Linked DNA regions of Cricetulus griseus. The protein of the gene in region 7 interacts with the protein of the main gene of each other region in a pairwise test. Links are inferred from orthologs where the notes say so. Each region holds a gene or a part of one and is shown on either strand. Other genes may lie near its edges.

Region 1 (2,215 bases), on a different chromosome or scaffold from region 7:
TGGACAGTGCTGTAATAGGAAGGAATAGTTTCTGGCTTCAGGAATTTGCCTCAGTGGCTTACTGGGACATGCCTCTCTCCCTCAAAGCTAGGGTGTCACCCCTCCTCTGCCCAACTGCCATGATGAGTATTATTTACTCTCCACTATATGGTGGGACCTTACAATCTCAGTCCTTACTCTGAAGGTTTCTTTTGCATGCGTGTGGAGCCCAGAGGTCAACCACGGGTGTTGTTCCCCCAGTCCTTCTCTACCCATGTGTTTTGAGATGAGACCCGAGGCTCACCAATCAAGTGAGACTGGCTCACCAGCAAGCTCCAGGGCCCTCTTTCCTCCACCTTGACCACACTGAGGTTACAAGCATGTGCCATCATGCCTGACTTTACCAAACTCATGTTCTTGACAAGCACTTTACCAATTGACACATTGATTTCTTTGTTTCTTCCCCACACCAAATGAAGGCATGCAGCCAACAAGAAAATCAAGTATGAAAACAGGCCGGGTGACACAGATCACAAGGCGGCTTTATTGGATTAGTTGCGTGGGGGAAGTTCTTCCCAGAAGCAGCAAGTGCAGGCATTAGAGTGCAGAATCCAGAGGAAGGAGAGGCTGCTGGGGTCCCGGCCTACTCGCCTGGAGACATGCGGAGCTCTCTAGGGAGCTGAGGGGGGCCTTCACTCCAAGAGGCCCCCACATACAGGAAAGCAATGCTTCTGTCTCATTCCGCTCTGAAGAAAGGGAATGGAGAAGAGAATCAATATCCCCCCAAGAAACAGCCACCTACACCCACATTCTTACCACCAAGGAAAAGCATTTCCCAGAGCAAAGAAAGGAAAATTCCCAGGGTTTACGTAGCTTACAGAGATAGGCACTGTGCCCAGAATGCACACTCTGCTCCTCGTCTGGACTCCTGAGGCCTTTCCAGCCTCCCAGGGTCTGAAAGGCTTGTTTATCAGTCCCTTAGGGTCACAGAAAGGCTGCCTACTCACCGGCTTTTCTTGCGGTATTCCTGTAGCGCTTTTTCCGCCACTGTGTCCATAAATTTAGGGTTATCCTTGGAGACTTCTTCTGGTAACACCACTGTGATGGGGTCAGAGTCAAACAGCTTCACGACCACCTCAGTGACACGGGAGGGCTCTTCTGAGTTATTAGAGTGGGTTGTCACCTAGGCAGAAGAAGGCAAGCAAGACGTCTCTACACAATGTCTCGAGTATGCCCTTCTTTGCCAAAGGATATGGATCTTCTCTTTGCCCCCTCAACCAAAGACAGATATTCTGTTATCTGTCACTAGTCAAGATGTCTAGACAATTCAGAGCAAAAACATCCCAGTTTGAAAATGACCAGACATTCCAGAAACTTTATTCTCAAATGTTTTCTTGTTATCTTGTCTTATTTCCTTGTTTTTGCTTTGTTTGAGACAGAAGTCTCACTACATAGTCCAGCTGGTCTCAAGCACTTCACCCTTCTGCCTCAGTTTCTTCAGTGGTGGCTTACAGCATGCCTAGCCCCAATGTTTGCTTTGTTGTACAAATGCTAACCAGTCTGTGGTTGAAAGGGTTCAGGTGGTGGGGGTGGGGGGTGGTTCCTAGCACTAAAGGAAGCTGTTCTCACTAGCTGACAATGAACCGATTCATGTGCCACTTAACACAGCCCAGGGTAAGAAAGCAGCTTTGCAGCCAGGCTGATGAGTCAATGACCCAGGGAAGTTGTCCAAAGTTCCCCATTCTTAGTAAGCTGCAGAACTTTTCACTTTCTTTCTCTTGGAAATAGGACTTGGATATCTGACCTCAAAGGGTGAAGGCATTTCAATCCTAAAACAGGCAGAGTTTCCCTAGTCCCTGCCAGTGGAAATCACAGGTGCTCTTGTGTGGTACCTCTGTCCCATTTCACCTCTAAGAGAAACATTATCTCTAGACTACACATGGGTCTAGCCTGAGCACGTGACTGGAACACTACTCACTGTGGAGACGCGAAGGTAGTACTGGTCTTCGCCCTGTGTGAGGTTGGCCAGCTGGGACACCCAATTGAACTGTTCGTTCAGCTGCTCCAGCAGGGATGAGGTGTTGAGCATCTTGGTCTGGAGGGAATGGAGCAGCTCGTTGTACTGCTGGGTCAACCTCTCAGCCATCTGGAGGGAGTCATTCAGCTCCTGGCGCAGGTGAGCCTGCGCAGGGTTGTTGGCTGAACAGTCTGTCCAGAGGGGAAAGAAACAGAAGCA
Region 2 (3,500 bases), on a different chromosome or scaffold from region 7:
GAAGTTGAGACCAGCCTGCTCTACAAAGTGATTTCCAGGACAGACAGGACTGTTACATAGTGAACCTCTGTCTCAAAACACAAAATAAAAGTCATTCTTCAGAGCCTGGCGCTGGTGGCGCACGCCTTTAATCCCAGCACTTGGGAGACAGAGGCAGGCGGATCTCTGAGTTCCAGACAAGCTTGGTCTACAAGAGCTAGTTTCAGGACAGGCTCCAAAGTTACACAGAGAAACCCTGTCTCGAAAACTCCGCCTTACTGTTATGATTATATAAATATTTCTAACTTTATACTGTAATTTATGTTACTACATTTCTATAATATTGAAGCTATGTGGGGTTGATTATTGTGATTTTTATAAAGGAAAATGTCTAACAGTTACCAAGTAGTTTTTAGTATTGTTATATAGCCAAGGCTGGTCCAGAACTCCTGCCTCAACTCTTTGAGTGCTGGATTACAGATTGACTCTATTATACGTAACTTTTATTTACTTTTTAATATTTCAAGGCCTTTTACAATTTTTGTTCTTCTAAATAAACTTTAAAATTAATTTTTTCAATATAAAAATATTTTGTTAATGAATGTGCTTTAACACTTTAAGAAACAGTAGTATTTTTTATATTACAGTGAGTTATATGGAAAAAAATCCTATATAACTTTCTCATACCATAACAATCATTTATTCTACTGCTCCTAAAATTTACTTGCCACTGTTTTGCATTTTTGTGGCACTTTGTTGTTTTTTAGTTAGGGTAGGCCAGGATGGCTTGGAACTGACTCTGTAGACCAGGCTTACCTTGAATTCCCAGAGATCTCTTCATCTCTACCTCCCAAGTGCTGGTATGAAAGGTAAGCATCGCTATACCTGTCTTAGCACTCACATGATGGTTAGTAACTGTTAGCATCTCCACTTCCAGGTTATCCAAAACCTTTTTCTGGCATCTGTGGGCACTGTACACACATGCATAGACATACATACAAGCTAAATATCCACATAAATAAAACTAAATTAAAATTAAAAACAAGCAAACAAAACAAACTAAAAGACTATTGTTGGGGCTTTCAAGATGACTTAATGGTTAAGAGCACTTGTTCCTGCAGAAGATAAGCACCCACATTGCAGCTCACAATTCTAACTCTAGTTCTAGGAGATCCAAACACCTACTTCTGACCACCTCAGGCACCAAGCATGTACATGGTTACATTTATTTATTTTGTGTATGAGTGAGTTGAGTGAATGTGTGTGTGTTCACCTTTGGAGGTGTATCCATTTTTCCCCCCAGAAAGGTTCATATAATTTGGAAGGAAGTACTCTTTTTAATAGATTTTAATAGCCAGGTTCTTGAGAGAGGCAGCATTTGAAAGAGAGAATCAGGTGGAGCTTTGTGAGTTCAAGGCTAGCCTGGGCTAACAGAAACCCTGTCTCAAAAACAAAAAAAACAAAAGAACAAACAAAAAAACCCCAAGATTTTTAATATGTTTCTTTATTTAGAAATGAGGTATTTTTAGGATTTATTTGAATTTGTTTTCTTTCAGAAATCGAGCTATAGCAGATTATCTTCGTTCAAATGGCTATGAAGAGGCATATTCCGTTTTTAAAAAGGAAGCTGAATTAGATATGGTATACTTGATTTTTTTAATGTCTTCTAATTACTCATAGTATAGTTAATGGGTGGAGTTTTACTTAAATTTGCAGTAGTTAGGTCAATTCAGCTATTCAAACCTTGCCATTTTTTATTGTGCTCTACTTAGCAGTGAACTTATTTTTCTACTTTTTTTGTATAATCATATATTTAATGTTTAAGTTTAAAGATGTCATGGTTAAGCCATCTTTTAAAGGATCTTGCCTTTTCTCCTCTAGAATGAAGAATTAGATAAAAAGTATGCTGGTCTTTTGGAAAAAAAATGGACATCTGTTATTAGATTACAAAAAAAGGTAACTAAGTCTTCTTTAGGTTGTTGTGGTCAGTGTGTTCTTACAAATTTTCTGAAAGCATTACCATAAATTATTAATCTTCTGATTCTCGTATCTGAGCTTAAAAAGAACATTTCCTTTGCTTCAAAAAAACTTTGATTTTAAGGTTATTACTGATGCATAGTAGCTCATACAGCCTGGAGTAGTGCCTTGGTTGAATTTGTATTGTCCTGACAGAGAAATTGATGCTTAAGGAATCATTTGTACCCTTAGAAGGACACAACTACTTGGAAATGGGAAAAGAGCACTACATGTGGTCTCATATGAACTATTCTTACCTCTGAGTTTTTTTTTTTAACCTGAAAGACATAAATAACAAATGCTATTCCATTTTTAAAATACATATTCTTCATATAAAAAAATGGAATATAGTAGGGTGGTTGTGGCACATGCCTTTAATCCCAGCACTTGGGAGGCAGAGGCAGGTGGATCTCTGTGAGTTCAAGGTCAGCTTGGTCTACAGAACGAATTCCAGGACAGGCTCCAAAACTACACAGAGAAACTCTGTCTCGAAAAACAAAACAAATGAAGAAGAAAAGAAAAGTTGGAATAGATAGCATTGTTCTAATACAAGCCCAGCTATAACTGTGGTGTAGGGGGGAAAAAAAACCACTAAAAATGGCAAGTGTAAAGGGATCCAGGGAAATGTGTTGATCTTCTCTGTTAATAAATGTAAATGAAAATTGTCTTTGAGTGAAATGGTTTGGGCTGGGCATAGTAACTACAGAACTTGGGAGCTGAGACAGGAAGATTATAAATTCTGGGCTACCCTAAGCTTCATAGTGAGAGCCTACCTAAAAGCAGAAAACATACAAATAAAAAACCCCAAATATGTTATAGTATGAATCTTTAACTTCATGTTCCCTCCCCAAGGTTATGGAATTAGAATCAAAACTAAATGAAGCAAAAGAAGAATTTACGTCGGGTGGTCCCCTTGGTCAGAAAAGAGACCCTAAAGAATGGATTCCCCGTCCACCAGAGAAATACGCATTGAGTGGTCATAGGAGTCCAGTCACTCGAGTTATTTTCCATCCTGTGTTCAGTGTTATGGTCTCTGCTTCAGAAGATGCTACAATTAAGGCAAGTTCTTTTTGTTTGTTCCTTTTGTTTTTGTTTGTTTGTTTGTTTTTTTTTTTTAAAGACTGTGTCTAAGTATTCTTAGCTATCACACTGGCCTTGAACTCATAGAAATCCTCCTGCCTCTCACTCCTAAATGCTGTGATTAAAAGTCATGGGTCGCCACACTCAGGTAAGGCAGACTTGATATAAATTAGGTGAAAGAAAGATTTTGAAAATTAGGATCTAAGTAGAGGAGAGTTCTGAGTTTATCTTTTGTTTATTTGTTGTTTTTTTTTTTTGTGCTCATGCTCCTTGTGTATGTATGCATACCTACATGTGTGTGATTGCCAAAGAACAAATTATGGGAGTTGTTTCTCCCTTCTACTATATGGGTTCTGGAAATCAAACTTGGAATGTAAGATTTGGTGGCAGTTGCCTTTTTGAAACTGTATAAATTAGTGATTTGG
Region 3 (4,208 bases), on a different chromosome or scaffold from region 7:
CTTGAAAGCCTGAAGACACCCTCTCAAGAGCTAAATCTAAGTAATGACCACTGATTCTGACAAAACAATGAACCCCTGTGCTTTCTGAAGTCACCATCATTATACATATACACATACTCTCTCGTGAAACATGAAAAATTCATACAGCATAAGCACCACACTGGGTAAATACCCCTGGTTATGAATGACAAGATCCCACAGGAATGCCCCTTTTTTGATAAATGTGAGAGGGGCTGTAGAAAAGCCGAGCTAACCTCTAGAACCTAATGAGCAGGAAGCTGAGGCAGGGATGGCTTTGCAGGGGCTAAAACTAAGGGTTTAGCCGGTGCTTTTGTCTTCAAATTGTCCCCTCCATGTTTCCTAGATTTGCAATTTAGAGTTTCTGTTAAATTTAGGGTATGCTCCAACAATCACTCCTGATCATCCTGCCTTTTGGTGTTATTATGCTGCTATTGTTATGCAGGTCACTTCATCTGTTATTTTTATGTGTTCTCTTGTGGATCCTCCAGGAGTGGTGCTATTCCCTTTAAGCTGTTGGAGTGACCTGTACATCGTGTCTGACTTGAGAGTGCTCACTCAACCTTGGTGCTATGTGGTCTTGACTTTCGCCAACATATTCCCATAAGGACTCATTTTATACTTACCCCATCTTCAGTACAAAGTACAATATTGAAACACTTGGGTTAGAAATGTAGCTCAGTGATAGGATGCTTATTTAGCAGACACTAGTCCCTGGGTTCAGGCCCCAGCATCACAAAAGAAAAGAAAAGATAAACACATAGATAGGCAATAGGTAGATAGACAGACAGACAGACATATGGAGCCGATGGTCATGGTGGCTCACATCTGTAATCCCAGCACTCTGGTGGCACTGGGATTGTCATGAGTTCAAGTCCAGTCTCAACTACAGAGTGAGATTATTTTTCAAAAGAGAGAGACAGAGAGAAAGGAAGGAAAAGGAAAGAAAGAAAAGAAGAAACTTTTTACTTCAATTGATCACTTGGAACAAAACAAGCTTTTGGGATTTAGACTCTGGTTGCCTCTTAGTGAAATATAAATTTAAAAATCAGAGGATGGGTGGGTGGATGTAAATTAAGTGTGTGTGTGTGTGTGTGTGTGTGTGTGTGTGTGTGTGTGTGTGTGTGTGCTAGAAGTAGTCCTAGAAAAGACAAAAGCTAGAACACTCTGCTGCGTCAGGAAACAGGGGAGTGGTACCCTAATCATTGCCCCAGAGCTGCTCTCCGAGGCTTTCTCTGTAGCATACAATCTGAATGCTAAGCAAGTCCCACAGCGAGTGTGTGCAAACTGTCCCCAACTTCCCAGTGGCTGTCTGGAAGGAAGCACCTTTAGGACTAACCTCCCTGCTGCCCTAGAAGGGAAGGCACATGGGGATTCAATATAAAGTCATTCATAGATTGGTGTCTTGTCTTCACCACTGGCATGGGAGAGAAGCAGCAATCGAGCATTAAGGCACTGTGTACTGTAAACGATTAGTTGAGACATTAAAGCTGTGAAAAAAATATACGAGCATAAACGTCACCCTGAAACGGAGGAAAATGTGTGTGAAAAGACCACTGGACTTGAAATGTGCACTGATGGGATTTACTGGACCATGTCAAACATTTTCTATGACCACGGATAACCAAGCTAGACTTCTTTGTCTCGACATTAACACAATCAGGGACTCTTGTCTTCAAATGCAAGTCTTCTCCTCCCACCCTCTTTTTTCCTTTTCTTTTTGGCTCTTTGAATATAATCCACGTAGTCTCTCCCCATTCCCAAAGTGCCTCCCAAACAGCACCGGGGAAGCGCTCTGGGAAGCCCTTGCCGAGACACTTAGAACTTTGTTCTCCACATGGCTATCTAGCTTTTCTCGGTGACATCACGGCCTCCCCAACTCTTCACTGGCTGTGAACCGAGTTCAGACGCTCAGGGCGCTGGCCGTGGTCCTGACCTCAGAGCTCAGGACCCTGGTGCAGAGCACTCCCAAGGCGGAGACCTTGACACTCGGAGGAGCCATATGAGCCCCTTCCCCTCCTCGACCCCAGGGAAGTCGTCTGGCCTTCACTGCAGCCCTCCACTGCGCTCTTTGAGCTGCATCAAAAAAGGGTGGGGCACTGAGCCACAGCCGCAATCCGATGCCACCCGGGAGGATTTAAGAACAGCACAGTGGTCCATCCCAATCGCCACTCGTCGCCTGTAGCCTAGGGATCAGCTGGTCCCTGACGCTCCCAGGCACGGGGAGGCGAGGGCAGCCTTTGTAGGCGCTGAGACGCCCACCGGCGAACCCTTGCCTCACCGCACCCTGCGCGGTGAAGGGGCGGGCAGGGCGCGGTGCGCGTGCAGATGCGAGAGGCAGAGCTCCAAGCGCCGCGTGCCCGCCGCCACGCGGGGATGCTCGGTCCTCCGCGAGATGCCAGGGTTCAGCCCCGCTCTCCGCTCCACCCCCCATACCAACCTGATCGTAGATGTTCTGCAGGGCTTCCTTGCCCGAGGCCCGCCGGATCTCCACCTTCCGGCCTGATTCAACAGATGGCTCCCCGCTGCCACGCCGGCTCTGCCGGTGCGGGTCCGGGCCCAAGTGGGCGACATCCCGCTGCTGAGCCACCACCTGCCCCGAGCCCCGGCCCACCGAAAGCGAATCGAAATCAATGGTCTTGTTCTCCGAGGACCCCTCCACCGGGCAGAACATGCCACAGAATTTCTGCCGGGGCTTGGGACTGCCCGAGCCCAGGTTTTTGAAAAAGGCAGGGACCTCTTCGTCCTCTGCCGCCTTCCCAGATTGCTTTCTATCGGCCATGGCTCAGGGGGCGCTGGGGAGGGTCCTCTCCGTCCTTCCGTCCGTCCGTCCGTCCGTCCGTGGTTCCCTAAGTCTCCCTGGCTGGGTGTGCACTAGCCCCTCGCTGCCGCCGCGGCTGCTGCTCCCTGCCTACCGCAAGGTGCACAGAAAGGATGGAGGGCTGGCGAGCCGGCGACCCACCCCTCGCGGTCCCTCCTCCTGACCCTGCTTTCTCCCTCCCTGCCCACGCCCCCCGGCGCCGCCGCGCCACCTCCGAGCGAGCGGCAAAGTTAGATCTGGGCGGGCGGTCTCTGCGGCAGAGGATGCCAGTTCCCGGCAGCACGGGGCGGGGCGGGGAGGGCTGAACGCGCGATCAGAAGGGAGGGGAGACGGAGGGAGGGACGGAGAAGGGAGGGTACTAGGGGGTGGGGGGCACCCGGAGCCCGCGCTCCGGAAGTGAAGCGGCCACTCCACCCGCTAATGGATGCGCAGCGGCCGCCCAGCAGACCGCTCTCGGCGCCAGGGTGAGTGTCAGACAGCTACAGCTGGGCGAGGACCGGGGGGCGCAGACCCTGGCCCCGAGTCCCTCTCCTCCACCTGCTTCGCTTCATTGCTAAGGTGGCTCTGGAGCTCCCCTGTCCCCGGGTGTAGGCTGAGGGTTGGGGGAGCCAAGGGTCAAGCCTACAGGCGCTGGGATGTTATGACGCTGGGGAGGGGTGATCCTGGAAACAGCAAGGGCTGGTCTCAAACACCCAAGTACCCGACACCAAAGCTTCAGTTTACCCACGACCTTGGCGGGGGCGGAGGAGGACTTCAAGGAGCGGAGAAAAAGGAAAATATTCTCATTGCTTGAAGCTGCTGTGGTCGGGAGGTGGGGCTCCCAATATGGCGGGGACGAAAAAAGCAGAGGGGCGTAGCGAAAGGGAGGGATGACCCGGAGAAAAACGCAGGCCTCTTGTGCATGGAGGAGCATAGAGAAGAATGCAAGTTGCGGATCGTAGCACTGCGCCTCAACATAGAGACTGAGAACCCTCAACATTATCTGAAAGTCCCATGCCCTGCAGGTAGGCCACTGACCCAGGAAAGGAACAGGGGGATTTGGTATCTCCCACCGCTACACACACACACACACACACACACACACACACACACACACACACACGGTTACCACCGCCCCCACCCAAAATGGTTGGAGCCTAAGCAGACTGAAGCCCACTCCAGACACATCTTGTTTCAAGGCGCCCCGCCTAGTTCCCCCGCCCCTGTTGCACACTGCGCCAGTGCCCGGCAGTTGCCAGATGAGGCTTCTCTAGGGCGGCAGAGCTTTGCGTTAAGGGTAGGGGTAGATCGCGTCTTAGGGGAGGATTACATGCTGTGAATTATTAGCAGCCAAAGTGTGTGGGGATTTGAGGGTGTGTGCTCGTGTTCG
Region 4 (3,500 bases), on a different chromosome or scaffold from region 7:
AAGTTTTTTTTTTTTTTTTTTTGAGACAGGGTCTCTCTAAGTAGACCAGGCTGGCCCTGAACTCACTGAGATTCTCTTACCTCTACCTGGGATCAAAGGTACATAGCACCACCCCTAACTGAACTACAGTTCTAATGAAAACATCTATGAATAAATTACAATAAAGTGAAAATAATTCACGATGTAAAGATTTTAAACAAAAGCATTAGCGGGCTCTATTGTCTGTGGGCCTACTCCTTAAATGTATACTACACGATACCTCAAATTTATTGTAATTTTTCCAGAAAATGGGAACACTTTTATAAAGACAGTACAAGTTACATTGTGACGTAACAGGCACATGATAAAGGCAGTCAGTGAATGGAATAGGTACCCTTTTAAGCTCATTATTAAAGGAATCCGTGCTTTCCAGGAATTTCCTCTTCTTTTCCTGGTGTCGCTCCTCTATCTGAAGGAGTTCAGCTTCTAGTTTTCGCTGCAAGGTATCAGACCAGATTATGAACCATTATACGTTTTCTCTAAGGCAGATGTAAAGCACACAGAGAATGTCATTTTAAAATTAGCTTATGCTTTAAAGTACACTTTTGTATTTTTAATTATGTGTATGTGGTATATACACAAGAGTAGGTGCCCAGGGAGACCACAAGAGGGTGTTGGGTTCCCAGGAGCTGGAGTTACAGGTGGTTGTGAGTCACCTCACACAGGTTCTGGGAACTGAACTCAGGTTCTCTGAAGAGCAGTATATACCCTTAACCACTAAGCCATCTCTCTAGCCCACTAATTTTGCATTAAAAAAAAAAATCATCTAGTATAAAATCTAGCTATTATTTTAAAAATGTAACACAGGGAAAGACTACCATTAACACTATGTTAATGAGTAAATTCTTTGGGAAAATCATTTTATAGTAATAGAGCAAAGGCTGATGGGGTGCCCCCAAATTCTTTAGTTTGCACCCATCTTTTAAAAGATATACTTGTCACTACAATGTTATATTTACAATTTTCAATGACAAACTTACTAAACATCTGGAATGGCCCTCTCCCTTAAGCTTCTTTCTCAAGTCAGGCACGGATGACACGACTTCACAGGTTTACTTACACACTGTGTCAGAGCCATGTCACCTGGGATGTGTGGCACAGCTTCCTTTTATTATAACAAAAGCTCTTCTGCCCTTACCTGATGAACCATTAAAGACTGGACCTGTCTCTTGAGGACCTGCATTCTAGCTGTTGTGACAACCGACCGCACATCAGGCACCACACTCTCACTGAGGATCTCACTGATGAGGCGGTGGTTTCTCTGGAAACGGGCGGTGGCTGTATGCTTCATCGAAAAGCCATCATCATAATCTGGATGAAGGAAATATTCTAGAAATTAGGTAGCCAGTAACCACAACCATGTTAAGAAGCAGTTATCAAGTGTGGTCTTCAATGTCCTAGCAAGTGGACTTGCTCAGTATCAGGGGAGTAGGGCAGGTCCACAGTTAGAACCACACAGAGACAGAAGACTCAGCCAGCTGAAATGTTGTCTCCATAAAGTTAGTAAGGCAGGATTCACAACCCATGGGTCACAACCCCGGGTTGGGCACCTGAACGACCTTCTCACAGGTTGCATATCAGATGTCTGCACTGTGATTTGTAACAGTAGCACAATTAGTTATGAAGTAGCAACAAAATAATTTTATGTTGGAGGTCACAAAATGAGGAAGTGTATTAACAAAGGGTTGCAGCATTAGGAAGATTGAGAACCACTGTACTAAGGGATGATTTGAGTCTGAGGTTTGGTTAGAACACAAACAACATATGTCCATATCTCTTTTAGCCCTGGGATCCATGTGAAGCCTGCATGTGATGACAGCACTTGAAATTCTGCCAAATATTCCACTCTCCAGTAATGACCGCAGACATCTGATAAATGCTGAACTGTAAATAGGTGGTATCTTTATCACAGCTGTTAAAATTAATGAAAATATCCACCTGAAAAATTAGCTTATCACCATCTTCTCTAGCAATATTTTGTTTTCCAGGCAGTACTTATGGTTTATTACATTAAAAATGGTAAAGACCCAAACTAATGTTATAGAAAAAACAACAACTTGATTTCAAGGCTAGGAGAGGGTTCACTTGATAAAGGGTTTGCCAGGCAAGCACGAGGATCTAAATCTGGATCCCAGCCAGCATTAAGGAAATGCTGGTTGTGGCAGATTTCAGAAGGCTCTAGCTAAAACAGCAAGTTCTAAGTTCAGAGAAACTCTATCTCAAAGTAAGGCAGAAAAGAAACTGAGGAAGCAAACTGACTCCCACATATGCCCACAAAAAGGTGGAGACTGAGGAAGAGACCCAACATCGACACACACACGGACACACACTACACACTCAGAGATACTTGAGTCTAAATTTATAAACATGCACATGGCTGTTACTAGGCACAGAGTAGACATTTGTGTTATTTTGGTGTGTGATGCATGCATGCCTGTTTCAGCCTACTGGACCATCTCTTGAGCCCAGGGTGTGATTTTTTTTTTTTTCTTTTTTTTTTCTGACACAAAATTTACTGTGTAGCCCAGGCTGGCTTTGAACACTCATCAGCCTCCCTGCCTTAGTTTCTAAAGTGCTGGGATGGCAAGTGTGTACTACCATACCCAGCATGTATGCGTATTTCTAGTAACACAAGTGTTTCCTTTATCTGCTTTATCACCTTCAATACCTGGTAGCCATCTGTACTAATAGCTACTTAATATTTTTCTTTACATTAACTCACTAAACAAAGCAAGTTTTCCATCCAATATAGATAGAAATAAAGGTTGTCACGGAACCACCCAATCCTCTTAGTGTCTCACAGAGGTCTAGGTGTCACGCTTAAGGAACCCAGTTACACAAAGGCCTGCACGTTGAACATAATGGTCTCTGAAGACCTTTACCGTCTTGGTGAATCAAGCTCTGCCTTGTGGGCCTTCTGATAGTTCTCTAAGAAGTTAGCAGATGCTGTCCTCATCTCTTGATGAGTGGCTCCTATCTTTCGGTTTTCTTTACATTTCTACTTTTCAAGTCCTAGAACAGTGGTTCTCAACCTATGGGTCTTGACTCCCTGGGGTGGGTGGGTGTGTGTGTGTGTGTGTGTGTGTGTGTGTGTGTGTGTGCGCGCGCGCACGCGCGCATGCGTGCGCGTCAAAGGACCCTTTCACAGGGTCACATGTCAGATGTCCTGCATATCAGATATTTATATTACAATTCATAACAATTATGAATAACAATAACAAAATAACTGTAATTCAAAATTACAGTTATGAAGTAGCAATGAAATCATTTTACGGTTGGGGTTACCACATAAACTTTACTAAAGGGTCAAAATGTTAGAAAGGTTGAGAACCACTGTCCTAGAAGGTCATATTATATCAATACAGCTTAATTATTATATTCCATGTTACTGCTCATGTAAGAGCCTTTCAAACTTAGTTTTGACTGTTACATTTTGCTTAGGAAATATTTTATTTTCTACA
Region 5 (3,500 bases), on a different chromosome or scaffold from region 7:
TCTTTGAACAGAGTACTTCCAGGGCTTTCACTAGGACTGAGAGGAGGTGTTGCTTCCTGTTGTAGGGTGTTAAAGGTTTGCATACCACAGGCCCTTCCCCTTGGGGACACCAGTGAGCTCTACGGAGCACTGCTTTTAATGCTAGGAGGCCTGGAGAGCAAGCCATATGGGTGGCCTGTGAATACCAAGCCCAGCCAACTCACAGTAAGCACTCAACAACTTGCCCAGAAAGATGCTTCCAGATCAGTCTGCTATCCTAGGGCCATGTTGGAAAAAAGAGACTTGGAACTGGAATCCATAGCATAGAAGACACGGTGTGGCCACAACATGCTGAGGCCTCCTTGATCAGCTTGCCACCGTCGTGGGCTAGAGCATTGATGTACACAGCCATGCTCCTGTATGTCTTGGGCCCCTTAAGGGCACTGGCCTCTTCCACAAAGAGTTCCAGGAAAACAGTGCCTCTCTAGGTCTTCAGTTGGTTTGACATGCTTCCTCTTTATTGGAGTTGGCAGTTCCTTTTTCCGTTTTTTTAACAAGCATGGTGGAGGTCTCACTTTCCCAGCAAGGGTTGGTGACGGGCTGACTGCCAGCACAAGCCCTTGGACACATGCCTAGTTGTTTGCAAGCCCGACTTTTCACCTGGCTTCGTGTCTAAAGGACGCCATCAGTACTAAAGCCTCTTAAGTTTCAGAGTTGGCAGGAAGAGTCACCTAAACGGGAATCTTCGGCATGGAGCACTGTAGGGTCTGCTCTCCTTCGCGGGAAATGGCTCCCTTCCTGGTCTCTGGGGGTGGTGCCCTTGTGTTGGGGCCACCCCTGGTCTTCAAACCAGATTATCTGCTAAGAAGGAAGTCAGCGTGGAAGCCCCCAGGCAGCTGCTGCTCATGGCTATAGATGTGGCTGCCTGGAGTGTGAGCCATGCAGGGAAAGAGTCTGCTGCTGTCACCTGCTTCTTCCTGTCTGCACAGCCAGCCATGGTGCTTGCCTTTGGTGCCTCTTGGTGTAAAGGGCTTGTACTTGCTGATCACGGTGGCCAGACCCCGCCTTTCCTCCCTCCCAGAAGTACTGCTAACCTCGGGCTACTTTCCTCACAGACAGAGAGAGGCTTGTTGAAATGCTCCGTGCCATGAAGCAGAGGGCACTGTCCGCAGCAGTGGCAGACTCAGTGACAAACTCCTCGAGGGACAGTCCTTCCATCTCCCTGAGTGGTAAGGGAAGGACACCCCACCCTCAAGTGTCCTGTAGCTTGCGCCACAGGGTTAGAGTGGCACTCAAAGTCTTGTCTTCGTGGTGAACTTGACCTACTGGAAGCTGGGCTTCTCTCCAACCCTCTTGTGTGGTCCACCACCATCCTGGTTGTGCCTTAGGACACAATGCAAATTAGAAAGTGGGCTTGAAGTTCAGGGGAGGGCGCTGACTTCATGGAGCTGCCCATCAGCTGCGGGCCGTAGCTGTCATCCCCCAGAGAATGGGCCCGAAGCCCCTGGAGTGTTGTCCCCAGCGGAGGTTGTGCTACAGACCCTGCCTGGCTCTCCAGACACCTGCTCTCTTACTCCTCTCTGCTGCTCTCCAGCTGAAGGAAGCTGAAGCCTTGGGGTCCCATCTCTTGCTGCCTCTTCACCTGATCTCCCTAAGTTGGATGAAGTTACTTACTCCTGCCTTCTCAGCGCTTCCTGCTGCTCTTTCTCCCCACCTGTCTTCTGGGAACTGTTCACAGTTGGACTTGCTGCTAAACATGCTACTCTTCAGACTCTAGCCTCATGCAGTGTTAACATAGGATGTTCACACTGGGTCTTCCTTTCTGCAGATGTAAGCTCTAGCGGTCAACAGGGTCCTTGTGCCTGTTTTTCCACAACTTATAACCTTTCTTTCCCTCATTTTCTGTCTTTCAAAGAACCAGCCACACAGCCAGCTCCTCTAGAGACAGATCAACCTGCCGGAGTCCCTGCCTCCTTGTCAGATGTCCCAAAGGCCGTGGAGACTGGGAGACTGGAACAGCTCCGGCCTCAGGAGCTCTTGAGGGTCCAGGAGCCAGCGCCTACCAGCGGTGAGAAGGCCAGGCTGAGTGAGGCCCCCGGGGGCAAGAAGAACCTGAGCATGCTTCATTATCTCCGGGGCGCTGCGCCCAAGGACATTCCTGTGCCGTTGTCCCACAGCATCAATGGGAAGAGCAAGCCTTGGGAACCCTTCATGGCAGAAGAGTTTGCACATCAGTTCCATGAGTCAGTACTGCAGTCCACACAGAAGGCTCTGCAGAAACATAAAGGTAACAGGCCACATGCCCCCGTCACCTGTTAGGCCATTCACGTATTAATAGTACCTCTTAAACTTTAATGCCTGTAAAGCATTAAAGGTCTCACTGGGCATGGGAGTGGGTGAGGTGAACCTCAGCTTCTTTCAGACTTGTAGCAGGACCTAAAGCACCTGGTCAAGAACCACGCACCTTAGTTAGCAAATGGCAGTTCAGTAAGGCCAGAGCAAGTGTCCTCTGTGCGAGTGCAGTCCACAGCAGTGACCTTTCCAACAACCACATAAACTCACTTGGAGATCTTTTCTGGTTCGTTGCCAAGGTACTGTGTGTCCATCCCCCCAGGGCCCAGTGATTGTAGGGATAGCAGTTTTCCTGCCCTGCTCCCCCAGCAGGAATAATTCAGTCACCATGCCCTCCAGTCCATGTTAACGGCTTCATACCAAGCTCACAGACAGAGTGTGTCACTGAGCTGACTCTGCTGCTGGAGCCCAGGAAGCAAAGGCAAGAGCTCAGGTGGCTGGTTAGAGGCGGAGGCAGCATTCCTGAAGTTTGCTGGCCAGCCAGACTAAACAAAACAGGAGAGCAATAGAGGAAGAAAACCAGAGTTGACCTCTGGCCTCATGTTGCCTCACCTGTGAGGAAAAGCCCCAGGAGAGAGGTGCTAACTGGGTCTTTGTGAGTTTATTGGAAAGATGGTGCTTTGGCCAGAGGCAGCAGATTGCTCCCTGCTCCTTAAAATGGACAGGCTCTTTGAAGTGGCATCTAAGGGACACGTTGCTTAATAGTTTTCAAGTGAGGCCACCAGCAAGACTGAGCCATCTCCTTCTAGAGGGACAGTCCATGTCTTGGTCAGGGAACACCTCTGCCCTGCCCTCATGAAGGAGGCTGTGCTTACAAAGTTACAGATGTGCCCATGGGATCGGAACTCTGGTGCATGTTTGTCTCCATGGATGACTTTCAGTTGAGCCCTGCCCTTCAAGATCCTCATTTTCTCCTCCCCAGGAAGCTCAGCTGTGCTGTCTGCAGAGCAGAACCACAAGGTCGACACGTCAGTCCACTACAACATTCCTGAGCTGCAGTCCTCCAGCCGGGTTCCCTTGCCCCAGCACAATGGACAACAGGAGCCGCCAGCTGGGAGGAAGGGTCCCCCTATGCAGGAGGTGGACCAGGACTCTGAGGAGGACAATGAAGATGACAGTGAAGAGGAAGCTGAGGAAGCCCCCAGGCGCCAGTGGCAAGGGATTGAGGC
Region 6 (4,148 bases), on a different chromosome or scaffold from region 7:
TTATGAACGTGTATGACATTTATGGAGATGTCTGGTTTGGCTTCTTCAAGTTGTGACAGTTATATGGACTGGGCATGAGATGATGGAGGTGACTGTTAAGGACAGTTGCACAACTGTTTGGTGTATACAATAACTGTCACAAACGGTGTTACACTGAGATCTTTGCATACATTTGTCCCTCTAATGATTCCCATGTGAGAGCATCTCCCCTGAGCAAACATGGGCCATGATAGGAAGCAGAACTAAATTCTAAAGAAAACACTCAGAGTAGAACTTAAATTAAGTTTTAAAAAATCAACACAAAAGAAGGCGGTAGAGGGAGAGATGAATGTGAGAGACTTGAAGCCCTCAGGGAAGGGTGTGGTGTTCGTCTTTCTCACCCCTTCAGTCGATGTTTTCCTGTCATGCAGGCCTCTAACCCTCAGCTCCCTTGACAATCTCCATGTGAAACACAGAATTTAGTCCTCCTGTCTCTGATCCTTAATTGTAGAGGATATACCACGTTGAGGGTGGATCCCTTGTCTTCCTTTTTTCAGATCTCAGAATGTTGAGATTAATGTCATGGTCCCCACATTAACAGACTTCTGACATTAATACCCAAGTCTGGAAAAGTAGGAAGGGCTCCAAACCTCCAAATGCAATGCTGGTGTCAAAGAATGATCCCCGTTCCTCTGGGAAGTCTGCAGAGTGCTTAGCGGCCCTGAGAGTCACCTTGTCTGCCTCATTCATTCACTGGATGACGTGATACAGACCCCTTCTCAGCCCTCCTGTTCCGTGGCAGAGACTAATGATGAGGGTGCAATGCATGCGATGGGAGGGCTTGGTTCTTGTTAAGCACAGTAGCTCCTGTGAATCAAAGAATTGTGATGAAGATGCAGGGACTTGTGAGTAAACACAAGTATTTGCACAGTTCCCATCCCAGTGGTAAGGACAGTCATTGCTATGGTGGCTTCAGCTTCTCACAGTGTAGCCCTTCCTTAGGTGGTTCACTCTTGTGATTCAGACTTTTAATTAGAATTAATGCAGTGGAAATTTTGACGGTGGCCCTAGATTTCTGCTATCACTCATTTTGATGAGCTGTTTTTCAGTTCTGCTCATAATGATTAAAAAAAAAAAAGCCTTCCATCATAATTTCTACTTCCATAACAACTCACTGCTAGTTCTAACTTTAAGATTTTTGGAAGGATTGATGGGGACTTACCATAGTCCATGATATTTAAGAAGAGAAAGTCTCATTAATAGAAAATGGAATCACATCCACAGTATAGAATTAGTAGCATTAGAGGGATTAACATCCAAGAGTCAGCTTACATTGTTTACAGTGTCATCTGTATGTAACAAACTGTTATGGTTTTTTTGTTTTTTGTTTTTTTTGGTTCACATTTAAAGAAATTATTTTTTATCTTTCAGAAAAAACAAGGAGGGAAATGACAACCAAAGGTTCTACAGGCATAGAAGTTCTGTTGTCAACATTAGAGGTATGTTAGTGATCCAGCTGTCACAGGAAGAGTGTCGGAGTTATTAACACACTCACGCACGCATGCATGCACACACTCACGCACACACACACTCACACAGGCACACACAGGCACGCACACACGCACACACAGAGCTGGAGGGATATTGAAATGAGCATACACATGTGAGAGCACTATTATGTGTTATGTAAACATATATTTCCCAATGGTTAAAATAACTAAAATTTCATGTTAGATATTTTAAACAATTTGTTATTATTGTGTATGTGTAGTAAGGCACACCTGCCATGGCACATGTGGGCGCCAAAGGACAGTGTGGTGGCATTGGTCCTCCCCCCGCCTTTATGTGGGCTCTGAGGGTCAGGGCTCCCAGGCTGGTGCAGCAAGCGCCTCTCCCTGCAGAGCCATCTGGCTGGCCTTGAATTTTTGTCTTTTTTTTTTTTTTAGTAAAGAACTTATTATTATTATTATTATTATTATTATTATTATTATTATTATTATTATTATTTTAAAAAGTTGACAAATATTTGTGCATATATATGGGCACATTGCCATAAAATTTTTTTTTATTAGTTCAAATTAGGAACAAGATTGTTTCACATGTCAATCCCTTCTCCCTCTCCCTCCCCTCCCCTCCAACCTCCTCCTAGCCCCCACATGCTCCCCACTCCATCCCCTCTCCACTCCCCAAGCAGGGTAGGGCCCTCAATGGGGGCTCCACAAAGTCCACTGCATCATCCTGGGCCGGGCCTGGGCCGTTCCCCATGTGTCCAGGCCAAGAGTGTAACCCTTCACGTGGGATGGGCTCTCAAAGTCCCTTCTTGCACCAGGGAACAATACTAATCCACTACCAGGGGTATTATTTTAATTATATGTGCGTATCTGTGTGTATGGGCGTGTGAGAGTGGGTACCATGGAGGTTGGAGGTGCTGGGTCCCTTGCAGCTGGAGGTCTGGGTGCTTGTGAGCTGCTCAGTGTGGTGCCCAGCAGGTTAAAGCTCTTGCTGCTGGAGCTGGTTACCTCAGGTCAAGTCCCAGGATCCACATGGGAGAGGAGAGAATCCATGTGTGCAAGTTGTCCCAGGAACTCCATGCCTACCTCTACATACAGAAATAAGTAACTGTCAGAAAAATGATGAAGATAGTGAAGTTTTAATAAAAGTATAGAAGTCAATACAATTGTGCCTAAAGAAATTAGAAAGGTCATTTGTTAGACATAGGTAGTTACCAGCAGGTTAAAACATTTGAAATAAAGAAAATAGTGTTTTAATAAAGCAAATCAACTGTTTGTTTCAGAACACGAAAGATCTTCAAACTATACTTAATATCCTAAGCATTCTTGTGGAGTTGGTATCTTCTGGTGAGTTTTGATTTACTTTGTGCTTGTAAATAGTGACCAGCTTTGTGTCCTATGTACTTTATTTAATGTTTCTTGACATTAAAATTTTAGAAATGAAACATCATGAGCTTGTTGCTCCCTGTGTCAGGGCGTGGGGAATATGTGTATGCCGGAAGGAAGGCTTGGAATGTTGGACTTTGCTACTCTCTACCTTATTCCCTTGAGCAGGGTCTGAATCCAGAACTTAAGGTTTTCAGCCTGATGGTTAGCCAGCATGTCCCATTGACCTTCCTGTCCTGTCCACAGCTTATTATTCGGGTAGCTGGGATTGCCTTACGACTGCACAGCAGGCTCTTACCCACTGAGCCATCTCTCCAGGGCAGTGCTTTCTTTTCAGTGTCCTCAGACACTTCTCAAATTATCCTTGCCTACTTATATAGCACTTATATAGCACCTTGAGCCTAGAGTGTTGGTATCATTTGTGTTATTTTTTTGTATGCTGCATTTTAGATAAAAAACTGGAACAGAACAAAATAGGAGCTGAGTATGGTGGCACATGCCTGTCTTTCCAGCATTTGCAAGCCTGGTGCAGAGAGAACACAAATTTTAAGGCGGATTTGGGCTATAATGGGATCCTGTAACCAAAACACAAAATATGATTTTGATAGTATTTAGTTTTAGAAATTAATGATTGGATTGAAACTTTTTTTGAATGCTAACTAATTATGATGCCCACTGTGGGAGGATGTGCTGATATATATATATATATATATATGGGTGTGTGTGTGTGTGTGTGTGTGTATTTATATATATATTTGCATTTTAGGTGGAGGTCGAAGAGCAAGTTTCTTAGTTGCCAAAGGTGGTCCACAAATATTGTTACAACTGCTTATGAATGCCAGCAAGGAATCCCCCCCACATGAGGAATTAATGGTGCAGACTCATTCCATTCTTGCGAAGATTGGACCAAAAGGTAAGAGTTCCATTTTTATGGTTATTAAATCCAGAACCACCTTTGTAACTTTTAATATTTATTTATTTATTTTTTGATATGGGGTTTCTCTGTGTAATCTGGCTGTCCTAGTACTTGCTTTGTAGACCAGGCTAGCCTTGAACTTACAGAAATCCACCTTCCTCTGCCTCTTGAGTGCTGCCCTGGAGAATCTTTAATCTTAAGCTGCTTACATTTTTGAAATGTAAAGCACTACTTTTTCTTGGGTTTAACAGTGGAGTGTTTTTGCAGTTAGCCAGCAAGAACTGAGGGTCACAAGATTCATAAAGAGTTGTTTTGAATGTGGTATAAAAGAGGAAGAATGCCAGTGTCACAGTGTG
Region 7 (3,989 bases):
CCACGCTAAAGTACATGAGGTCCTTCCCCCACCCCCAAAGAAAGCAAAACAAAAAGCAAAGTAAAAACCCAAACCCGCAATGCAATGCACTTGTTCTCTTGTCTTAGATGTGAAAGGAACACCCTAGGAGCTATTGATGAAGGGAATGGAGAGAGTTCAGTATTAATGTCTTCTTCAAACGTATTTTGCGTGGCCAAACCAGGAGAGAGGAAGGTCTGTGGGGGCTGGGGAAGTGATTTCACATTTTTGATAACAGAAAGTCCTGTTACCACTGCAAACACCCAGCGTTTGAGTTAAAAAGCAGGTGAAGTCAAATTGCTAACATGTCAGCTCTTCCTCTCTCTGAGCTAAACTTTCCCCATCAATCCTGGTAGGTCACCAGGGAAAAGCAGCAGAGAAGGAAACGCTGGCTTTGGCGGCGGAGTGTCGCCCAATTAATGTCGTTCTGGGAGTCACCTGAAGCCTTCCAGCTACTGCACCCAAGGAGCAAGCTTTGCTTTTCAATTCGGTCATTTCCATGGGGAATTGCGGTACGCGCAGGTCTTGGGTGTGGCGATGTCGAGACGGAGCTCACATCTCCAGGCTTTCCACCTTCTGGCCAACCCACCCAGCTGAGAAAACTACGGATGAAACGGACCTGCCTTCCTGAAACTCAGGGACCGCGAAGGACCGAGACCAGGCGGCCACTGCCCAGCGCCAAAGCCAGGCTGCGCGCTCCGCGCGTGTAAGCTTCTCCCCAACCCGCTCTGTGCGGGGAGGCGGATCCCCTTTCCTGCGCACAAGTCCTTATATGCACCGGTTGCACCGGCCCGCCTTTACTCCAGCCCCACAAATAATTAATGGAGGAGGCTGGACGCTGCTGTCTTTTCCCGCTGCCTTTCCTCACCACCCTTTACACTATTAGAGCATCTGAATCCAGTCAAGAAACCCCAAGATGCGATCGAAGGGCCATTTTGGTGCATTGCACAAATTGGACACATTAAAAAATAGCCTTCGGATCTCTGTACAGCGAGGTTCAAGATCTGCTCTTCGATTCAGCACTATTAACCCGCAAAAACTGGGACGGAAAGGGTGCGCGCCCCTCCCCCACCCAGGCTAGTGCAGAGGGACCCGGTCAGGAAGCGCGGCCTCTCCCCAGTCGGAGACCACGCCTCCTCCCCCCCACTCCTCCCAGGAAGCGGTGATAGACAGTTCTGTGTGGTTCTCCACCCCCACCCCCCCAGCTGAGTGGAGGAGTTGATATGTCTCATTATAACAGCCAATGCAGCCGCCATCCACGCACAAGCAAAGAAGCATGTCCCATTTAAATACACCCACGCAGCCCCAGCGCCCTTAGCCGATCAGGGCGCGCAGCCCACACGCACCGCGGCTCCGGGCTTGGAGATCCGCGCAGGTCGGGCTCCGGGATCCCGCGGATCGACACTCTCGGAAGATCGGGATCTCACTCTGGTTGGGGCCCGGGTGGGCGGGGGAGGCTGGGCCCCGGGCCTCTCTGGCGGACAGCCGCATGAGGACGCGAGCGACATAGACCAGGGTGGAATTGCCAAGGCAGACGTTTCTGGCTGGTTTTGGTCCATTTCTCCCGCGAAGAGTCGACATGGCGAGCGACTCCCCAGCTCGCAGCCTGGATGAAATCGATCTCTCCGCCCTGAGGGTGAGCAGAACGTGGTTTTTTTTTTTTTTTTTTTTTTTTTTTTTTTTTTTTTTTTTTTTTTTTTTTTGTGTGTGTGTGTGTGTGTGTGTGTGTGTATGTTTGTTTGTTTTCCCCCCTTTCTTTTCAATGGTCTGGGGCTGGGCGAGGGAACGTTCCCGGTCTTCCTATCCTGATTCCAGGGCAGCGGATGGGGTTCTAGGCTGAGCCCCTACCCTACAGCAGGGGCTGGGCTGCCCTTGTGCTCCTCGACTGTGCTTCCCGAGGCTCCGCAGGGAAGCCGGTGGAGCTTATGTCAGTTTCATCTTCGATTGGTGTAAGAGAATTACATGGAAGGAGTGTGTGTGTGTGTGTGTGTGTGTGTGTGTGTGTGTGTGTGTGTGTGTGTGTGTGTGTGTGTGTGTGTGTGTGTGTGTACCCGAGCAACTGTCTCTTGCCAAGGCTCGAGACCCGACTGCTCTTTGCTGCAAAAAGAATTTCCTCAAGAATAAAGGCACTGGCCTCTCAGGTTTGCCAGCTACCTGCAAGATGCCATCGTGAGTCTAGCTGTCTCCACCAGCCGACCCTGTCGCTCCAAGGGGGCAGTAATTGCTGTTCCGGGCTGGTCTAGTAGATGGCAACTGACCCCTCCCGGGTTCTGCCTCTGGTGCGGGGGCTCAGGCTCAGCGCTTCCCTCGACGCCAGGGTGCACTCACCTTTATCTGCGGTTTGAACTCAGCCCTGCCTATGCCTTTCTAACTCGGTGACTGTGACCTTTCAGTTTTATGGCTGAACTTCAGCAGGTGAAAGGGACGCTTTAGCAGCTTCTCCCTACCACACCGGAACTCCCTGGAGAGACTGTGTGTGCGTGTGTGTGTGTGTGTGTGTGTGTGTGTGTGTGTGTGTGTGTGTGTGTGTGTGTGGTTCCCGGGTCTGTGACCAGTCCTTTGTAGAACACCTTCCCTTCCCCCAACTCTGCCGCTTTGCCTTTACCTTCTTCCGAGACACCTCAGACGTCGTTCCATTGTATTGAATAAGACTTTAGTGATCTAGAATCCATTTTGCTGTTGTTTGGAGATCATACTGCCAGGAACCCCATTGCAGCTTCGACGCTTCCCCACCCCCACCCCTAATCCCAGCACACTCCTTCGGGGAAGGGAGCCCAGCGTTCTTGCCATTTTAATTAGATGCTGCCTGCCAGGAAGGGGGTAAGGAGGGGTGGTGATGGTGGCAGCAGCAGGGATCTGAGAAAGATTGGACACCAATCTCAGTACGACTAGTTTCTTCCTCTCCTGAACTAAAAATAAAATAAAGAGCAAATGCATATGCTTGTTGCCAGTAGGGTAGGTGAGACTGAAGGGATGGTGGCTCATGTCACCGACTGTCAGTATAGGTGGAAGTTGAGTGATCTTCCTGAACACATTGTTAGATTGATGATGCTTAATCTCGAGGCCATTTACCTGTGTCTCGGAAGCTTTTCCTGCAGTTACCTCTTTCTCTACAGACATTTTTAAAAGGTAGCTACCTGTCTGATTGAAGTGATACTTTTTCCTTAGGCTCAGAGCCACTTTTCCGCCCACACCTTGAATCCTTGGCCCTTTCCTTATCTTTTGGTCCAGAAAGGTGGAGGATTCAGAGAGGCAGGCTGAGGACTGACTGACTGCCCTTTGAAACCGGCTGCGGGCTGCAGTGATAGTGGAGCAGCAAAAGCTCATTCATGCATGATTACAGTAGGCTGTCCGTTCCTCTAGTGCCCAAAGGCCACATCCGCAACCAGGGGGCAACTGAGTGTGGGGGTGGGGCTCAGAGTGGGTGCTTTGGGCCAGTGCATGTGTGACTCTCTTATCACTGTGCTCTCTTTTGCTCCACTTCTGCCTGGACCAGTGGCCCAGACTTGGGGAAGGAGGAGTGGCCAAGTGGTAGCTGCCTGAACAATGAGCCAGGCTTGTGATTTAGCTGAGACAGAATCTTAGCATCATTCTCCCTGACATGATTTTTAAGTTGGGGGGCGGGTGTATGGCTCCTGTGGGCCAGATTTTCTGAGATGCCTAGCGCACAGAACCTGTCCTCAGGGCTACTAGATTCTCATTCAGGGAGACCTGTGTCCTGTAATCTGTATTTGGAACAGGTATCTTTGCATGATTCACTAGGATTGCTCTTTGTCACCTGGGAAGCTCAAAGGATCCTCTGCCTTCACTGGGGTATGCAAAGAGCTAGGACAACAGCTACTCCCTGTGCCTGGGAGCTGATGGCTGAAAGACTTCTGCAGATGGGCAGACAGTTGTACTCAGCAGGCCTTGGAGCTTCAGGCAGTCTTGTGGTGGGTGAGGCGTGCAGGTACGTTTGCCTCCCAGGGCTA

Evidence for each region.
Region 1: the proteins of Tnik (region 7) and Clu interact in a two-hybrid assay, tested with the Homo sapiens proteins (2 studies listed by BioGRID and IntAct). The link is inferred for Cricetulus griseus from reciprocal best matches to the Homo sapiens genes TNIK and CLU.
Region 2: the proteins of Tnik (region 7) and Pafah1b1 interact in a two-hybrid assay, tested with the Homo sapiens proteins (2 studies listed by BioGRID and IntAct). The link is inferred for Cricetulus griseus from reciprocal best matches to the Homo sapiens genes TNIK and PAFAH1B1.
Region 3: the proteins of Tnik (region 7) and Dpysl2 interact in a two-hybrid assay, tested with the Homo sapiens proteins (2 studies listed by BioGRID and IntAct). The link is inferred for Cricetulus griseus from reciprocal best matches to the Homo sapiens genes TNIK and DPYSL2.
Region 4: the proteins of Tnik (region 7) and SWI/SNF-related matrix-associated actin-dependent regulator of chromatin subfamily E member 1 interact in a two-hybrid assay, tested with the Homo sapiens proteins (2 studies listed by BioGRID and IntAct). The link is inferred for Cricetulus griseus from reciprocal best matches to the Homo sapiens genes TNIK and SMARCE1.
Region 5: the proteins of Tnik (region 7) and Gse1 interact in a two-hybrid assay, tested with the Homo sapiens proteins (2 studies listed by BioGRID and IntAct). The link is inferred for Cricetulus griseus from reciprocal best matches to the Homo sapiens genes TNIK and GSE1.
Region 6: the proteins of Tnik (region 7) and Agtpbp1 interact in a two-hybrid assay, tested with the Homo sapiens proteins (2 studies listed by BioGRID and IntAct). The link is inferred for Cricetulus griseus from reciprocal best matches to the Homo sapiens genes TNIK and AGTPBP1.

What each region holds. Positions count from the first base shown.
Region 1 is NW_023276807.1:220,972,902-220,975,116, reverse strand, and holds the end of Clu (clusterin), read right to left. Parts: intron 2,188-2,215; coding exon 1,958-2,187; intron 1,163-1,957; coding exon 987-1,162; intron 726-986; coding exon 716-725; 3' UTR 501-715; downstream 1-500.
Region 2 is NC_048600.1:88,139,100-88,142,599, reverse strand, and holds part of Pafah1b1 (platelet-activating factor acetylhydrolase IB subunit alpha), read left to right. Parts: intron 1-1,535; coding exon 1,536-1,620; intron 1,621-1,860; coding exon 1,861-1,935; intron 1,936-2,847; coding exon 2,848-3,054; intron 3,055-3,500. UniProt on the Homo sapiens protein: Regulatory subunit (beta subunit) of the cytosolic type I platelet-activating factor (PAF) acetylhydrolase (PAF-AH (I)), an enzyme that catalyzes the hydrolyze of the acetyl group at the sn-2 position of PAF and its analogs and participates in PAF inactivation.
Region 3 is NW_023276807.1:221,889,561-221,893,768, forward strand, and holds the start of Dpysl2 (dihydropyrimidinase-related protein 2), read right to left. Parts: upstream 2,801-4,208; coding exon 2,459-2,800; intron 1-2,458.
Region 4 is NC_048600.1:113,358,705-113,362,204, reverse strand, and holds part of SWI/SNF-related matrix-associated actin-dependent regulator of chromatin subfamily E member 1, read right to left. Parts: intron 1,351-3,500; coding exon 1,178-1,350; intron 476-1,177; coding exon 374-475; intron 1-373. UniProt on the Homo sapiens protein: Involved in transcriptional activation and repression of select genes by chromatin remodeling (alteration of DNA-nucleosome topology).
Region 5 is NC_048596.1:197,195,858-197,199,357, forward strand, and holds part of Gse1 (genetic suppressor element 1), read left to right. Parts: intron 1-1,094; coding exon 1,095-1,208; intron 1,209-1,894; coding exon 1,895-2,266; intron 2,267-3,253; coding exon 3,254-3,500.
Region 6 is NC_048596.1:278,623,116-278,627,263, reverse strand, and holds the start of Agtpbp1 (cytosolic carboxypeptidase 1), read left to right. Parts: upstream 1-1,348; 5' UTR 1,349-1,427; coding exon 1,428-1,478; intron 1,479-2,773; coding exon 2,774-2,837; intron 2,838-3,642; coding exon 3,643-3,789; intron 3,790-4,148. UniProt on the Homo sapiens protein: Metallocarboxypeptidase that mediates protein deglutamylation of tubulin and non-tubulin target proteins.
Region 7 is NW_023276806.1:120,727,922-120,731,910, reverse strand, and holds the start of Tnik (TRAF2 and NCK-interacting protein kinase), read left to right. Parts: upstream 1-1,189; 5' UTR 1,190-1,597; coding exon 1,598-1,654; intron 1,655-3,989. UniProt on the Homo sapiens protein: Serine/threonine kinase that acts as an essential activator of the Wnt signaling pathway. Recruited to promoters of Wnt target genes and required to activate their expression. May act by phosphorylating TCF4/TCF7L2.